2 linked regions of the Drosophila melanogaster genome follow. Changing the gene in region 1 together with any one later gene gives a genetic interaction. Each region holds a gene or a part of one and is shown on either strand. Other genes may lie near its edges.

Evidence for each region. Genes that interact genetically often act in the same process or in processes that back each other up.
Region 2: of spin (region 1) and bchs, changing one enhances a phenotype caused by changing the other (phenotypic enhancement), as found in Drosophila melanogaster (one study listed by BioGRID).

The regions. Positions count from the first base shown.
Region 1 is NT_033778.4:16,123,121-16,128,036, forward strand, and holds the start of spin (spinster), read left to right. Parts: upstream 1-1,860; 5' UTR 1,861-2,256; coding exon 2,257-2,662; intron 2,663-4,916. Other genes in the region: CG30095 (uncharacterized protein), read left to right, coding at 364-577, 965-1,132, 1,195-1,457. UniProt on the Drosophila melanogaster protein: Probable sphingolipid transporter that plays a central role in endosomes and/or lysosomes storage. Involved in TGF-beta-mediated synaptic growth regulation both pre- and postsynaptically via its function in endosomal storage regulation.
Region 2 is NT_033779.5:5,905,575-5,910,226, forward strand, and holds the start of bchs (blue cheese), read left to right. Parts: upstream 1-1,594; 5' UTR 1,595-1,713; intron 1,714-2,738; 5' UTR 2,739-2,770; coding exon 2,771-3,061; intron 3,062-3,115; coding exon 3,116-3,361; exon of another isoform or gene 3,362-3,473; coding exon of another isoform or gene 3,474-4,652. Other genes in the region: CG14000 (uncharacterized protein), read right to left, coding at 3,474-4,652.

The sequences.
Region 1 (4,916 bases):
TCATAGATCGGAGTGAATTGTTCTGACAGGTGACTGCTGATTATTATCTCGTCTATATTGAGTAATATAAATATTAGCTAATGACTCATGATTTGCATACTGCATTTCCTGTGACTTAATTTTTGTTGTATGTATGATGTTTGTTGTCATGTATATTCCACAAATGTAACTTTGAGTGCAATGAACTTTTTGTGGCTGGCAAATTGGGTTAGCACATGCAATGTATCCCTATTGCCTGGATTTATGTCAACCTCGAGCACAATTAAAATCAATAGAGAGCGCAGTGAAATCATTCAGGTGTCTGACAATTCCTGCAGGACATTCGTCAGTCACATTTATTGCTGGCTAGTGGAAAGTTCGACAATGGAGCTGCGTCGGAAAATCGCTCTGCATATTCTGCCCCTATTTTTAGCCATATTTCTATTCACCATGGGCGAGGCATATCTGAAGAGTGTCCGCGTGGATGAGATTCCCTTTGCCGGAAGAAAGGCCCTGGCCAATCGGCGGTCCAGCGGTATTCATCTCATCTCCAGTCTGGAGCATCAGCGCACTTTTCTTCATCTCTTCCATGTGCCCTGTAAGTTAAGCAATCTATTTCGCAATCGAAAGTGTTATATACAAGAATGGGCCATAGTTTTTCCACATTTAACTAGAATGTTCTAGATCAAGATCTCTGTATTTTGAACAAGGATTAGAACATAGGTTTCTGTGTGATATCTTCCCAATTTACAATAGTTCTTTTCAGTTTAAAAGACATCCACAACGCATTGAAATCATTTTAAGAGACGAATACGGCTAAGCCTAAAAGTATGCTATACTTTTTCACAATTTATCATATGTCGCAAGGAAACAATGAATAAACTTCTTTAGCAACTAAAATATTTAAATTTTTATCTCCTCAAGCATATGAATACTTTTATTAAGGCTAGCAGAATTACAAATCGCTTAAATTTTTACATTTCAGACATCATATGCTTTTATGCCGCGAAGGGCAAATGGCCATATGTGCCTGGATTCATGAAATACCGGGTTGACAATGCAGCTCGCAGTTTCTTCAATCAGAACGACAGTTTCATCAAACAGTTTTGCACCAAGTGGATTCAGGTGAAGGAGTGCTTTCGTCCCTTATTCGGTGGGTGGCAACTCTTTATGGAGTTCAGACATAGATTGACCTATTTAGGCACCTCTTTCCAGACAAATCAAATAACACAGATGTTGAAGTGGAAACGCTCGATGCAAAAATTCAGGGACAGCGTTGTAATTGTGACAAATTGTTGCTCTCAACGGAGCCACCTGTACCGGTCGTCTACTTCGACAAGAACTACATTGGAAACGTCAGTTCGGAAACGATTTTGAATACCATTGAGTTTCTTGAGAGTTTCCTGCCACCGCCCACTAAAAAACACAAGCGCAAGAATCGCGTTCGCGGGCGCGTAGATGATATGGATATTGAATAGAAATCGTTCTTTTTCATTCGCATATACCTTCGTAACGCACTTAGATTTTAATCATCACAATCATAACCAAAAAATCATCGCTTAAATTTGAATTCAAATTCGGTTGTCAACAGTTTTCTAGAGATAAGTGGTACACTATCTGTAATGCTCAGAATATTATGGCAAAATAAAAATTCTTTAATTAACAGAGCGCAACTTAGCTTGTTAATATAGATTCTTGTTCATGTTTTTGTATTAAATGTAAAAATATTTATTAAAAATTGCTTTAAATGTTTTTTATCGATAGGCATAGCTATACCGATATTAGTCGATAGATATGCAGCTGGTCTTAGTTTATCGATAGTACTATCGAAATTGTCATCGCCAATTGGATTCTGGTATATATTCGCGGTCGCCGGACGGTCACACTTATTGCACTTACTCCAGTTGGAAAGGCAACAGTGTTCGCGTCGCGGAAGAAACAAGAAAGAAAAACAGCGAGAAGCACTGCAAATGCATTGGCTGCATTTAAAGAACAACCGCGATTAGAGGAAGTGTCTCAGTACACAGTCGAATTAGCCATACAAATTGGCAAAAGTGTTATAAAAGAGAAGCGCGGTGGTGTGCCAACAGCCCAAGAGCAAATTCTTTTGCATTCGCTTTTGAACCGCTTTCATCGCGAGTTCCCGTTTCTCTGTGTGCGTGAGCAAAGAGCGTGTGCAAATAACTTTTTGCCGCGTTGTCCGCCTGCTGCGAATTTCCAACCGAAAGAGGACAGCGAGAGCGCGAGAAGAGAAGAGAGGATCGAGTGATCGGGTGAATGTCGCTGAAACACCAGAAGCAATCCTACCAACCGCTCCCAACGGCGGCCGCCATGGACAATCCGGCGATGATCCAGAGCAGCGGTAGCAGTGGGAGCAGCTCCTCTGAGGAGGGCGGGAGTCGTGAGGATGTGGCCAATCTATCGCCGCTCGGACTGCCTACGACCTACTCGTCACAGCAATTGATGCCCTCGGATACGGACAGCATGGAGGAGGAGCGGCACCGACTGCGTCCCCACCACCATCACCACCACCCACTGGGCGAGCACCACCACATCCCGGGCATACCACCATCCGCCGTCGTGCCATCGCGTCTCTCCAGCGTGGGCAGATCGCAGTGGTTCACCGTTACCGTGCTATGCTTCGTCAACCTCATCAACTACATGGATCGCTTTACGATCGCAGGTGAGTCCGGTGATACCTCTTTGGGTGTCCTATGGGATTCCATACGTTTTTTGGGGGGCTTGTTGCCGCAGTAGATAGGAAAATTTGTTGACACTATTGAAGAAGATTGCTATAGACCGCTGTAAAAATCACAACTTTTGTGTGACCAAAAGATTGGGCAGCCCAAAGCACTTATAGTATGTATTCATTTATATATCAGGCAAAAGAATAATAAAAACATTTAAATTGCACAAAATCTGCTGACAAAATCATAATGTTATTAATTAGCAGCCGCTAATCAACAATACTTGTGACCTAATCAGTTGAAATTTATACCTCATCGTCGACAATGCGAGTCGTCGCGTTCCCATTGTTTACAAAATGTACCATAAAGATTGCGAGCGAGAGAATTTGATTAGTGACTAATCTACTTACAAGTGAATCACGCGATCCAAAAATATTCATACAGAGCATTTTATCATTCGATTCGCTTTGCACCGAAACTCGGGACATTTCCACTGGGTGGGCAATCAATCAAGACCCATTTCGCCTAAACCTAAACATATGTATATTATTTCTAGCACTCAGGTGCGATAAAATGGAGTGAGTGAGCACGGCGGTGGCGGCACCTGACCTGCTTAGCACGGCGGGTAATGGTAGTTGCGATCGGCGATCAGAAAGTCCCCCGCCCGCGTGACAATTACAGGGTAATCTCATGTTTCAGTCGATAAATACAGACACACTGCCCACATAATTGTTGAGTTTATTATTATTAAGAACATTAGCGAAGGAAATTGATCTTAATTCATGCGGGCGGCATTTCATTGGACACTTGTTGAGTGCCGAAGTTCTTTTCACTGTTTACTTGTGTCTGGAAAATGAGACTACTACCGATTGCACTTGCACTTCGACTGGCGACATCTTAGTTACACAAAACGCGGTGCAAATCGATTGGAAACTTGTTTCAGGTTACATGGCGAAACAAGTTGTGACTGATTATTATACGTACAAGTCCGCCTCAGACGACCGTTTAATATGCATTTCTAAATATGTGTATATTATAGCTATAGTTTCGCATTTTCTTCGTGAACCTGAACAGCCAGTTCTTCCTGAGTCAGCAGAACTTTTCCACTCAAGGCCATGTGATAACGTCTTTTACTGTATGTGTAGTTGCAATTAATTTGCAATTATAAATCACTGGCTATTAGTTATCAGTTGATTGCCGCAGCGGCAATTGGAAATCGATCTTACAACCCTTTTTTTTCGGTTGCAAATCATAAGCTTTTGATTCGTGTAAAGCCACCGGATCGAGTGACTAAAAAAACATCATACGACTTTTTGCAACAGAACAGGAAGTGGAATTACTCACCGAAAAGGGGCGATAGCACTTACATACCGAGCCAAACAAAATCGCTGTTTACATATTATATTTAATATAAACACACATCGCTACTCGCCACTCGGAAATTTTCATTATTTCCATGGGCGCCTAATTGATTGTTTATTTTGAGAATTCTGCGAGCGCAAGGCGAAATAGAAAACTCATATAAACAATGGTCGGTCGCACAAGGTTTTTGTTTTGCCATTTCTGCCAGTGGCATTGTTATCATTATCAACCCCCCCCCCACTTTTTTGGGCCTTATCAAGAAGTGGCTGAAACCAGACGCGCTGCATAATCAATTGCATTGGATCACCAGCTGCAGTGCACGTGGTGTTTTGGGTCACTTTTTTGCAGTGATTAGATTACCAAGCGATTATTTGTTTAGCTTCTGCTAACTGACTGCTCTGATTGCTTGGCCCTTTTGTATTTAATGTGAATTTCGGCATTTGCAACGTTTCCGTGTGGTTGTATATAACAAGCAAAAATACATGCATACATATGCATATATTTATTTGGCGCACATAGACGTGTGTATCAGCTGATGTCTGCCCAACCTAATGGAATGCATTTAATTATAATTTTAAGTGCGTCTCGGCCTTTGGCTTCGACCTCCGACTTTGCTGAAATTCGCCTGGTTTTTTAAGCTAAAACCGACCGACTGACGGTAGTGGTGTGATGTTTTGTAACCACCTCGTTCGGTCAAAAAAAAAAAAAAAACACTGGGAAGCCCCCCTCTTCATTCATGATCGTGATCTGTGTGAGGGTGGATGGGAAGGGGGGGGCGGGGCTATTCTGTTGTTGACAGTAAATTCAATTTCTGCACCGACAGCGAACTTTGATCATCGCAAAAAGAACTGGCATTTATTTTGGTCAACAGATATGTGGGCTGAGATA
Region 2 (4,652 bases), on another chromosome or scaffold:
AAATGATTTTTGGGGTTACACTTTTAAATTTTCCGGAAACGCCTCGAGCAGCATATGCGGTCCTCGGAAAATTCACTTAAAAATCCACTTAAAATTTTGCTGGGTATTGCACTTCACCTTTAAAGGAAGATTAAGCGGATGAAATAGGCTGATGTCACTTTACTCATAAGAGTTTGTATGTAAATAGAATGTTCGCGCCAACTTCACGAGTTTTTTTTTTTAGTGCGCTATCAATCTACCGAATATCATTTTACTGGTCTACCCCTTCTTGGCACCTGAGATATTGTTCCCGTTTTTGTCAGTTGTAGGGGGCCTCTATTTATAACTGAAACGGAAAAATCCATTAGAATATTGCCGCAGACAAAGGACTTTCCCCACAACCCTGCCCCACAAATCGCGGTGGGGGGTTTGTCGGGCGGGAAAGTGCGCAAAGTACCTGTCTGGGTGGGAAGATATAATACCTGGAGAAGTGCCAATCCCAAACGCTTTCCCACATAAACAAGCATTAGGGAACTCCGAGCTTAGCTTATGTGGCTGGCTGGCTAGCTGGAAAACTGAAGAGGACTGTGGGAGCGGGTGGATACGGGCAGTCACGCAAGGGGTCAGTGGGCGTGGCGGGGCCAACGCCCAAAGGTAAACTATTTTTGGGGAGCGAGGCAGTTGGTCATGGGGATAACTACTAACTAAATATTTAGCACGACACGCCTTTATTCTTTTGCACCCCTAATTGATTCAAAAACGAAATTTTATCCGCATTAAAATGGGGAGACACAGCGAATTGGTTTCGGGTACAGGGAAATTAGATCAGAAGGACGTGCGTGGCATTTAATGGCCTTACCAATCAATCAATCCCAATAAACTTACAGCATTCTCTGCCACAAATGAGTCAGCAAATAGCATCATTATCAACGCATGAAGTTCGCCATCGGGTGTTCGTTCAATCAATATGCAAATAAATTTGTTGTCATATCCGACAGCTATCTGTTGATGCTGACAATTATAACAACTGTAAGTACAAACACAAATATTAATAACCCCTAGCCAGAATCAATAAAGAATCTCACACTCATGCGAATATTGGGCGAGAGAGAAATTTGGAAATTAATGGCCAATGGCCTAAGAATACCAATTGTTAGCCGAGATGCGAAAGCACTCATATAATATTATTAACAATAATGAACTTAATTATGAGCACACATGAACATTAAGTAAGTGCTAATTAAGTATCAATTTAGATGCTAAGTTTATGAGATAAATCAGTTTAGTTCTATTAAACTGTTGCCATTAGTTTAGTAAGCGATCTAATATATACAATCTGAAGATAAGCACATCGTTGGCGACATACAAAAGATTTTGTATTAAATAAAAATAATAAAATGAAGTAGATTAATACAAATCGGTCTTGTTTATTTGCTTATCAGTACAGTTGAATTTGAAATGCCAAAGCTAGACCGCCGATCATAATTCAAAATGCAGCACTGGCGTTTGGTCTTAATGAGCACTGGCTGCGGTGGTGGAAAATGTGAACAGCTGATACCACTGGCAGCGCTACGCAACACTCGACAGAATAACGAAAAGAGAGTACAGACGAAAAGCTGGAGAAAATTTGGTTCATATTTTCATACGTGAAACAAGATGTAAAACGAGTGCATTTAGGGCCCAAAATAGTGAAAACTCACACGGGAAACACAATGCTAGCGACGGATAGCAAAAGTAAGTGACGGCTGCACGAAATAAGCCGGAAAAGTGCATGTGAAAATTTTCAAATTCGACCTATCTGCTGGTTTGTTCAAGGGTGGGTGGCGGGCAGAGAGGCCGAGTGAGAGTACGCGAGAGAGGAAGAAAAATCAATAAAATTGTCGTGAGGCGCGATTGACTGGAGCAAAACAAAGTGCGACACGAAAGAGAGCGCTAAGCGGACTACGAAAAAGCAACAACAGAGCGGCCGTTAGCTGAACCAAATGCGTTGGCAGAAAAGAGAGGTCAGATAGTCGGTAGTTTCAAAGGGAGTTGGAGTAAACAAACAAGTGCGCAATAAGTAAACCAAGAACAGCTGTCTCGCACAAAATGTAAATATTTCCCGAATATATGGAATAATAACCACTATCGGTTAATCGCTTGCTCGCTATGTAGGCGTACGAATCGAATCGAGTCGGCGACAGAGGCAACGTTCATTCACTCGCGAAAAGTTAATACTCGCACCGAATACAATGATCGCACTTTTCGTGTGATTCACCTCCAGCGGCCGCTAATTAAGGCGGCGGCAGCAGAAATAGAATAGCTGCGAAAACAAGCCATAACGCCAACTGCACTGTGCGCGGTTGTGATTTGGAAGCCACTCAATTGAAAGTGTCAGTGCTGTGCAAATAAATCGCCAAAATATCTCACCTCCAATGTTCAAAAGATACAATATCTACAATAAGCACAGGTTCTATGGAAACATATGTTTAAATGCGAAGCGACACGTTTTGAACTGAAACCTGCATGAAAGTGGGAAAGTTCATTAAACTACAGCAGTAAAAAGTTTCAAAATACTATGAAATATCTTTTTACACCTTTATCGAATAATATATAATCTTTTTAAACGGCATAACATTGTAAACAAGTGAATCACCATTATTAAAACACATGTAGAAAGTGCCACCCCCTTGCAAAAAAATCAATGACATTCCTCATAGTACAGCCATTAGATTAGTCTTATATTTTGTATTAAGTCAACTTAATTTTCTCTCTTTTAGATTAATCTTACCGCAAATCAACAAACACAAAGATGAATGTAATGCGTAAGCTGCGCGGAGCGGCCAGCGCAGGCAGCGTCAGCGGCAGCAGTAGCGGAACCTCGACGGCGAACAACAGTTCACCAGGGAGCAGCAGAACGGATGCTGGTGCACCGACCGCTGCAAATGGACGGAATGCGGAGGAGGCGCTGATGGACGCCCGCGTCCAAGTGAGCCTCACCACGCTAAAGAAGCTATTCAACGAATACACTCATCCGCGGGAGCCGCTGAGCGAACAGGAGCGCGATGACAAGCTCTACGAGATGCTGCCCCTCTTCTGCAAAGTGAGTGAATCAGTCGGTATGGAGGAATAGGCCACTAACTCCCCATTCTTACAGGTCTTCAGCAGCTGTCCGTCAAACGACATGAGCGAAAAGTTCTGGGACGTGGTCGCCTTCTGCCAGCAAGTGTCCCGTCTCATGGTCAGCGAAATCCGCAAGCGCGCCTCCAACCAGAGCACAGAGGCGGCATCCATTGCCATAGTCAAGTTTCTCGAGGTGGAAACCACCGAGGAAACCAGCAGCGGATGGATGCTTTTGGCTACCCTCAATTTGTTGGCCAATGGAGACGTATCTCTCATACAGGTATGTTTCATTTATAAACTGCTATAGTATCTTATGGTAAAAATACATCGACGTAATCAAAACAAAAAATTTCAATAGCTACAATTTTCGTTAGGGAAAGTCGTCATCAAATTCACGAAGTTTTCTCAGTTCCAGGCTTCAAAGAGAATTCGATGTGTGAGTTCGTAGCTTCTTCATTTGTAATATTTGGGTTGGCTGCATCTGGAACTTGTTGTTCCTTTTCTCCCGCATCGCTTGGCTTATGGACCAATTCAGCATTGCTTAAAGTTCTGAGCCGAGAATAGCTAGAGCCCTGTTCTACCAGCAAAATCTCCGATTTCTCCCTTTTCTCAGTGTCCGCCCACATGGAAGATCGCCGGGCTAGCTTCCGATCCATTTGAATGGGTTTCATTGTGGCCTCGCTGTTCTCACTTGACCGAGTTGAAACAAGGCTAACAGTGCTCCTGTCCTCGATTTTGGCCCACAAGCTCGAGGAATCGCTGGAGCCGCGCCAGGCTGAAGCAGACCTGCGCATCTTATTGGCCTGCTCTTCCATGTACACACTGTACTCCGTGTCCACCGGTGTGATATCCGATTCACTGGTGGTTATTGTTGGCGTTGATAGAAAACTCTCGTCACTCTCGATCTGATGCAGCGAAAAGAACTTTTTACGCGCATCCCCAATGAACTGCCACATGCGGACTATAAAGTGCGGCTGCTCCACCTCCGCGTTCGGCCGGAAGTACAGGATCTGAGAATTGGCCAACTTATAGTAGCACCTGCAGCATTTGCATAGAAAGTCGTCCACTGGCTTGGAAAGCACAAATAGCCCGGTTGAACCAGACTCTGTTCCCTCAAAGTACTTACGGCCAGTCGCCTGACGTTTCCAGTCGCCGGGTTCCATGCGCATCAGCAGGTCGAACACGTGGAACATGTGCATCAGGTACATGGTGCCAGTAACCAGCGCAGCGATGCTCTGCTGCTTGCAGTGCGCAAAGTGCGGATGTTCCAGATACTCGATGGTAGAATTGATGAAGGCCAGGTGAGGGTCCAGCATGGCGGTGCGCATTATCAGCACGCCGCAGAAATAGTGCGACAGCACGGCACTCAGTGTGAGCAGGAGCTGGGAGGAGAGCACCGTACTCCTAGCCAATAGCAGTCGGAACGCGCCTAGAGCGGCGAGCGCCGTAAAGGACGAAAATGTGGCACAATATAGGATCACATGAGGAGTACGCTCTGGCCAGTAGGATGAGCCGCGTATGTGGAAAAACATACAAACACTGCCCAGCAACACCTCGATGAGTTTAAAAAA